Linked DNA regions of Nothobranchius furzeri. The protein of the gene in region 2 purifies or fractionates together with the protein of the main gene of each other region. This does not show direct contact. Links are inferred from orthologs where the notes say so. Each region holds a gene or a part of one and is shown on either strand. Other genes may lie near its edges. The genes, in order: nr2c2 and jazf1a.

Region 1 (4,263 bases), on a different chromosome or scaffold from region 2:
AGAAATTCAGAAATACCCTCCGTCGTACCTTTGACCAACAGTTAAATCTTAATGTTGTGCACCACTCAGAGTTTAAATCCAACTTCTAAATAAACTTAATCAAACTAATCAATTAACTGACCAAGTATTAAATATTCCAAAGTATGAAAAAAAGTTTTAGTTGCAAAGACTTTATTAGAGTATTTATTACGCAGATGTTATTGAGGAATGTAAATATACGTTTAAGTTAATTCTGCAGTGGCACGGGGCTGTCTGAGGATGTGCCTGACTTTAAGTCGGCTTTACTAAGGAGGTGTATCAGCCGATGCAGATGCGTTAAAAATGTCAAATATCGGTCTGATATATCGGCCGAACGATATATCTGTCAACCCCTACTCTCTTTACTAACCCTGGCTTCATGAGGAAGTTGTACCTGTATTCTTCCTGGCATCAAGCTGTCTGCAGCAGTAAAGATGACCTGCTTTGCGTTGTGATTCTCCGGTGAGGCCAGGATGACTTTGCTTGCCCCTGAGCTGTTGGCCGTGGCCAGGATGAACTGCTGCTTGGGAGCACTGGAAGGATTCATCGCTGTCACGATCTGGATCTTCTGACCGGTCTGCTGGTCGGTTACAATCTGACAATGTGAGAGACACAAGAGGTAGGTTATAAAAAAGAAGATGGGCAACGGGCATGAACAGACACCAGCGTGTTTAAGGTTAAGATAATGACAGAATTACATTAATAATTAAGAGCTAGAGCCTGATTTAGACTCCTCCATCAGCTCAGGTGCAGAGTCACACATGCACTGATGGAGACGTTTTCCTTTTATTGCCTAAAGAGTGTTGCAAAGCTATATCCCACCAGGACAACAGAGGGTGTAGCGGCTTCCTGCAGTTGTGTCACTGGTCCACAATAGTGTAGTGTAGTGCAGTTGCCACATCTAAACCCACGTTTCCTGTAATTTCCTTCCATTAATAAAACATTTGTTGAGTATCTTTGTTCTCCTTCAGTTACGGGTGTATTAGCATTCATATTGTCCGACTTTTTCTCCGAGACATTCTTCAGTCAGCTCTTTTTATATTTTTGAGGGGGGAACGGCACTGCTGTTAATGAATTTAAAGGAAGTGGCGCCCTGACCAGGCACAGTCACTTTCAAATAACAGTTAAAAACATGGGCAGAGCACCTACGTTGACGCATCATGGCGTTGCGTGTCTCCATAACCAGTGCAAACGGAGAGGTATAAGTCAGGCTTCAGTCACAGCGGTCAAACTGTCTTAACTGTGTTGACGTTAAAAGAAGAGCGCCAGCAGGAGGGGTCCAGTTGTTACCTGTATTTGCGGTGGTGTTGTTGCAGGCTCGGTGGAGATGACCTGAAAGCGCTGCGGAGACTCACTCATCACGGAGTCTGATGGAGAGGATAACGCCTAGCCCAGTTAAACAAATTATCCAAGATCATTTCCCAATCAAAGCTAATAAAAATGAGTGTCTATAGTGCTTTTTCACTGACTTTATATAAAAACCTACCAAGAAACAGGACAATGTGAAAATCTTTCTCGGCACACTCACCTCTGCTTCAGACTCTGCTTTCTGCTGTGACAGCAGGTTCAGGCTGGTCGACATAATGATGAGATGTCATTAGTGGTGGGGTCTGTTTAGAGAGATACCAAGGACATTAAGTCTTATTTGCATGTTCATTCTGTGTTTATCTTCGTTTGATCTGTGATGACCAAGAGATACTAGCTGCAATGTGTCAGGTAAAAAACATTGAACAAAGAAGGATTTAAGATGCTTTAGACAAACTAACTAATCTGCCATTTAGGATGCTGAAATATCCATGATTTTGTTTGACTTGGGGCTGAATCTTTGGTTTTATTTTATGTTTTTGAACAGACTAGCACCTAACATTACCTACAATGTTTTACATGACAAACCCACGTTATATACATGTGTAATAGTTAGGCCAATCAATTTCCCTGTGGGATTATTAAAGTATTTTTGAATTTGAATTGATTTGTTATTTAAAGGTAGTAAGAAGCGGAGTCGCTTTGGATTTCTGTACGGTCGTAAAAAACAGCTGCTCTGAAATGTGCTTCCCAGGACTGCGGTGCGCTTCCCAGCAGGGGTACATTTTTCGGCACATCACCAGCAAGAATGGATTGATGTTGTTTAGTGATTGGCCAAACAATTTGTCCATCATTGACACTACTCCAAATATACCATGAAACAAAATGGAGAATTTGGCAGTTAGCCAATACCACCATAGATATTACGGTAATTAGTATTTAAGAGACTTTTTTGACATTAGAATAGCTAACAGCAATTATTATAACAGTACAACTCAAAATACATATCTAGAAAATATAACACCGACAGAGTCCTCATCCACACACGTCCACGGGATGGCAAAGGTAAAAGGGTCGATCGAGTTCACCAGCGGGAGCTGTCCGATGTTAGCTACTGAAGCTAGCTCAATGCTACAAACAGCTGAACGTAACTGTCTCCCGCTGTGTTTACCAATCAAACCGACAGTGATGTCGTGTGTCATTCCGCTTAATGACAGAGGCCAGACGGCCCCTAACGTTCCTCAGTTCATACCCGGATACCGAGCAGTCGGACACGGACAGAAAGAAAGCTCAACATCGGCTAGCCGACAAGCTAACCGAGATTAGCTCCTTTCTGCTCGACTACCAGAGTCGTGAGAGTGGTTTCAGTAAAACATGTACGCTTACCTCTTAGAGTCAAATTCAATGCGCTCTGCTGGTTTTAAATAAATATTATTGTTGTGGTTTTCGTCTGGAAAAGGTCATAGTTCGTGACCCCTGGCCAGCGCACTAATGATAATGACTTTTCCTTCTTCCTCTCTCTCGCGTCCGCCTATTCACCCCCCTCCCCACCACCCTTGTCGCGAGCATCGGTCGCGAGCATAGACTGTACATATACTGTACGTCGCGAGTCAGACAGAACTGACGTCATTATGTCTAAATGCTCATTGACACGTTGATTGTAAAACTAATAACGTGGTGAAGATCAAGTTTGACGAAAAAAGTCGAATACGCTTTTTGTGATGAGTGCATTTTACCACGTTGGATTTGTGGAGGATTTGACGGAAATATTCGTTTTTGGTTTACTTGTGACTGCTTCATGGCCTTAAATATTTGCAGTTATATTTCTATTCATGACAGTTTACTTGAGTTGTTTATGTGAAATTAGCAGTAGGCTACCCCTTATATATAAAATCCTCATGTTAAAGTTTAATTTGACTTTTAATTTGTTGTTCCTTAGAGATGCTCTTTTCACATGTTTGGTGTCTGTGATCATATCCATCCTCTCTGTTTCAGCTGCTTCCATCAGGCTGTTTTGACACTTTCAGATCAGCAGACAACTGTCCGCTGAGTTTAAAAAGGCAGTTTTTAAATAATTTAAAACTCTGTATTATTTAAAACAATGCAGATTGAAGGATTTTTATTTCTTACATTTATTATTATTATTATTAGTAGTAGTAGTAGTAGTAGTAGTAGTAGTAGTATTTGCTTTAAAGGGTAAACTATGGAAGCCCATTCCCGCCACTCAGATAAAAAAAAATTATTATCTCTGACTTAGCTATCATAATAATGAGATACTATCTCATTATTATGACTTAGCAGCTCATAATTATGACTTAGTATCTCATAATTATGAGATAAATTCTGCTGGCCTCCACGGACTTCCGTTTTTGCACTTCCGTATTTTTCAACCTGCAGCACACAACTTCGTTCATCATTCTGACCACTCAGTGCAAATGAAGTTTACAAGACGGGAGGTATAAATACACAGGGAAAATTAGGAACACTTGGGCAGGTTAACGATGGGCAGGTGAGAACAATAAGGCTAATCAGGGCAGGAGAGAGACACAGTCAGGAAGGCAGGGGCAGATACCAGACGCCCACAAGGCCACATAACACAGGGGACCCGGGAAACACGTGACTTGGGAACCCGGGAAACACTTGACTCGGGGGATTTGGTCTCTGGAATTCGACAGCAGCAGGCGCGGGACACTGGAACTCTACAGGACACTGGGGAACCGGGACACACAGGAACTCTTTGACTCGACACATGAACTCTTGACTTGACAACAGGAACAGGAAAACTGCAGCAGCCGGGGTGGGACCCAGTAGGAACTGCAGCAGCAGGTGTGGGACCCTACAGAGACTGCAGCATGAAGGACCTGCAGGCACAGACCCCGCAGGCGTGACCTAGGAAGCAGGACGAACAGCAGGAGCGACGCGAGGAAACCAGGAGCGGTA
Region 2 (4,567 bases):
TCTGCTACACAGACACTTGGAGTCAAAGGGCAAACCAAAAGCCAGATGGGGCGTTTGTTATGGTTTTTTTTTCATTTGGGGCTTCAGGACTGGGGAAATAATACCTGTGTCCACATTTTCCTTAGTTAATATCCTTAATTCACTGGAAAACTGCAGATCAAGAGATGTGCAGCGTGATAAAATTGAATTCTGGGCTAATTTCAACCTTTTCAGTGAATTTGGAAGGAAACGCCCTGCTCACCATCATCCACAACATGACCCATGATCTAGAGTGTTATCACCACCGCTGGCGGCTCTGCTGAGCTCTTTGTTAGTGAGACAGCAGGTGTGCAATAACTCAGCCAACATACTGCCCCCCCAACCCTGTCAGAGACTGCCAGTTGCCATGGAGACTGGCTCAATGAAGCATCCATTTTACCCCTTCACCTCCTTCCAACGGCCTCATGAGGAGAGAAACTGGCCACCAGTAGTGACTAGCCCTGATTTTATTCAGAGGTTCACGAGTCAGCGCACTCCTCTGTGGTGTCACCATCCTTTTAGTTCCATCGGTGCACCAGTTATGCACCACTGGGTAAATGTTCATTATCAACCACAACTATGATAATTCAGGGTTAGGGTGCAAAATAAACCTAGAATCCCTAAAGATAAGTAAGTCTTTCATCTGTTGACTGCCTTTCAAGCACACACACAGTTCTAAGAGGTCTCTCCTGTTTTGGATTTTAGCCACAAATAAATGTTTCGATTGAGTAAACAACGTTCAAAATCAGACAATTTTTACCCGAGTCGACGCCCAAATCTAGGAAGTGGTTGTGGCGCCCTCAGCGACTACTGCTGAATTCGACTGTGACACCTGCTAATGGGGCTGAACCATCTATCGTTTTTGGACCAAACTTGCAATTTCAATCAACGCGATCACATGATGATTTTTTGTGCTTCTGACTGACCTGATCTGGGTTTTCCCCTTCGCAGGGGAGAGGGGTACCGGGGCTACAGCCGATAATGGTGGCTGTGGCCATCTGCTGCCAATGCCGTTTCTCAGCACCGTGGGTGAGTGAGGGACAGAGACGTCTCCAGCAGCGGACCAGGATTTACCATAATAACACTTTAGTGGACTTGAAGGCTCAACTTTTCTTCTTTAAAAAACGGTTTGATGTTTCTTCTGACGGCACACCGTAACTCGAACAAGCACGTGAAACATGTTGGTTCAGTGTTAGAGTGTAGAAAGAAAAACACAATCAGACGGCCCGGAGAAATGTCCAGGCAGCCGGCCTTGGTAAATAATGCAGGGATCACTCTGGGTGCATTTTTTAATAAATATGTTTCGAAGCTATTTCTACCTTCAGTTTTCTTCCTTGCATTGTTAGAGTAGAACCAGAAGAACATACCTTTTATTAACCGCCTCACTAGATAAAAGTCACAAGCTGCTCCAAGAACATATAAAAGATAAAAAAGAAAAACATGTTCTAATAATATGATTTCTATTACTGCACTATCAATTATGTGCTGTTTAACCTTGATGTGAATACAATTGTGAATCAAACTGAAACATTTCCAGACATTGTTATCCCTACCTGTTAATGAGTGTGTCACCACTGTGGAGGGACTGTGTTCCACCGTTCTTTACAGAATAGTTCTTATTCAGCCACATTGGATGGCTTCCCAGCATGCATGGCCTGTTTAAGGTCAAAGGTCAGATGTTCTCTTCATGACGTTCTGCTAGAGAGCAGAATTCATGGTTTTATCCGTTATAGCAGATGGCTCAGGTCCCGAAGCAGCACAGCAGCCCCAGACCATCACCCTACCGCCACCGTGTCTGACTGTTGCCATTGTGATGTTTGTTTTAAAACCAGTGAGCCCTGAAGCGTTTTAGGTAATTTCCTGTGATCGTTTTTTATATTTTTTTATTCAGAACATTGTTGCTTTTTTTTAGATCTTTTAGCCTGCTCTAGTGACCGGTTCTGATGAAGTGAGGTCTTATTTCTACATATCCAGTAGTTATCACGTCTGGGTGAGGCTGGTGGAACTGAACTCAATTTTCTAAAAAAGTAGGTTCATTTATGATTTACCAGGGGGGTCTGTTACTTCTCCACACATGGCCAGGTTGGTTTGGATAGTTTTTACCATCAATTGGACATTATTGTTTGTATTTATTCAGTTGTTTTTTTTCTGATCTGAAGCTTTAGATTGATCATATTTATGTGATGCTGCTGAAAACGTGACATCACCCCTTCCTCTGGACTGCAGCATTTACTTCAAGTCATTAAAATGAAGGGAAACAAATTAAAAGTTCATTTATAACCGATAAGAGTCAGAATGTCTGATAATTAAATGAAACGGTTTGTTTTATCTGCAGGAAGATCCAATTCTGACTTGTGTAGGTTAGCCTGAAGTGACGTCAGAGCCGTAAGGGGGTTGTGCAGGTAGAGCAGACAGGGATGCTCTGACTGGGGGGTCGGGCTGCTGCTGCAGCATCAGGCCTGGTACGTAAACACGGACCTATCAGCGCTGTTAGCTGACAAACCGCTGCCTGGCCGGGATGCTACACCTATCATACCTACCATGCTCGACTCGCCAATGCTAAAATCACAAGCATGGTGTCATTAAACGTATATTAACATTACAATGTAATACATGTGTAATAATAATAATAAAGGAGGAAGTCGCTCTCTGCCGAACCTCGACGACGAGCGGGCAGCAGAAATAGCGGAATGTAGCTAGCTGCATGCTAGCCGACTCCGGCTAGCCGCTGAGCCCCTCCGCCTCCCCCCTCCTCCGGCCCGGACTCACCGATGTGATTGTCCTCGATGTGGACGATGAGCTCGGCCAGAGACTCGAACTGGAGACCGCAGCCCCCGAACCTGCAGGAGTTGGAGAAGAAAGAAGCGGCGGCGATGCCAGTCATGTTTCACGGCGCTGGTGGTGCATTCACCGGGAGGGGTGGAGAAGAAGGGTGGACCGGGAGCCGGGGTTGGTGAACGAGGAGGCAAAGGCTTCGGGTCCGGGACGGGAGCGGGGTAGAGCGTGGAGCAGACACCGGGCGGGAGGGCGGCCAGACAGGACGGGACAGCGGCGGACGCAGCTGGGAGGCTGGTGGTGGTGATGGGGGTGGGTGGGTGGGGGGAGGAAGGGTAGCGTTCTACGTCACGATGTGTTTACCTGTTGGAGTCAGCGCGCGCTGAGTATCAGCAGAAAATCTGAGCAGCATCTGTGATGCTCCCTCACTTATAACATCTGAGTGTTCTGGGATGATTTCAGAAACAGAGAAAACAAAAGGCAGAATTCACCATCTTAATTAGATATGTATGTTTTTATTCGAACACATTGATGTTTTTCAGTCAAAGCCTCACGTGGAGCTTAAAGATAATCGTATCATTTCAATGTAGATTAAACCACATCACCTGTAAATGATCAATTAAAATGACGTTTACATCAACCAAAAGAAAGGCACTTGTTTCAAGTAGAAAATTATAATGTTTTAATTAGTTTAAACCAAAAACCTTGATAAAATGACAAAGGCGGAACCAAGTGATTGATTTACAATGCAATTACTGTTTTAAAACAACTACAACCATTTATTCAGGTTATATTTTACTTTTTAATACAACCGATGTCAATGTAATCAGTCAGTTTGCCGCAGAATAACTCATTACTTTGTTTTAATGAATAATAAATAAACAACAATCATGTATAGATTTAAACATAAGAGCGGATTTGTCACAAAATAAACAAATTCATGCATAAAGGTTTTCGATAAAAGGAATAAAGTTGTTTCTACGTATAAATTTATCACCATCTTTCATGTCGAAGCTTTTTGAACAAACTCAGTTTGGAGAAATAGAGATAACATCTGAGCTAACAGCTACTTCAAGAAAAGATTAATGCAAAGTTTTTTAAAATTTACAACATTTCCATGATTTCTCCTCCATCACCTCAGTTTTATATGATAGGCAGGTTTTAAATTACGAGAGAGCAATGGGAAAGCCCAGGGCCCCCAAAAGGGCAACCTTCACACACCCAGGAAGACCTCTAAAAAGGTCCAGCTTCTACCAATAATACATTACTTATAAGGATTTTCATCATACTGGGGTTTCTTTTGAGCTGATTGGCCATGCAGCTATGTCCATATATAGCCACAGGAACATTCTCAAAGTCCATCCTTCCATCCATTGTCCATTGTCTCCTCCCAGTTGGATGCGGCCAGAAAACCTCACCAGGGAGGCATCCAGGAGGAATATAACCAGATGCCTGAGCCACCTCAACTGGCTCCTCTTGATCTAGAGGAGCATGAGGATCTACTCTGAGCCCCTCCCAGATGACAAAATCTTCTCACCCTATCTCCAAGGAAAAGCCTTGGCACCCAGAACTAACTTTGGCCACTTTTATCCACAGCCTCATTCTTTCAATCACTACCCAGAGTTCATGACCTTAGATGAGGGTTGGAACATAAGGTTGAACGTCTTTTCCAAATCCACAAAACACTTGTAGATCAATTGGGCAAACCCCTATATACCCTTCGGGACTGCCATGCCATTGAGGAGCTTTTTGACCACCTCAGTGACCTAAGCAC

What was found.
Region 1: the proteins of jazf1a (region 2) and nr2c2 purify together in Homo sapiens (affinity purification with mass spectrometry; 4 studies listed by BioGRID and IntAct, with this or other methods). This does not show direct contact. The link is inferred for Nothobranchius furzeri from reciprocal best matches to the Homo sapiens genes JAZF1 and NR2C2.

What each region holds. Positions count from the first base shown.
Region 1 is NC_091755.1:54,623,947-54,628,209, forward strand, and holds the start of nr2c2 (nuclear receptor subfamily 2 group C member 2), read right to left. Parts: upstream 2,896-4,263; 5' UTR 2,710-2,895; intron 1,629-2,709; 5' UTR 1,601-1,628; coding exon 1,547-1,600; intron 1,405-1,546; coding exon 1,309-1,404; intron 614-1,308; coding exon 413-613; intron 1-412. UniProt on the Homo sapiens protein: Orphan nuclear receptor that can act as a repressor or activator of transcription.
Region 2 is NC_091751.1:29,727,630-29,732,196, forward strand, and holds the start of jazf1a (juxtaposed with another zinc finger protein 1a), read right to left. Parts: upstream 3,040-4,567; 5' UTR 2,903-3,039; coding exon 2,788-2,902; intron 1-2,787. UniProt on the Homo sapiens protein: Acts as a transcriptional corepressor of orphan nuclear receptor NR2C2. Inhibits expression of the gluconeogenesis enzyme PCK2 through inhibition of NR2C2 activity.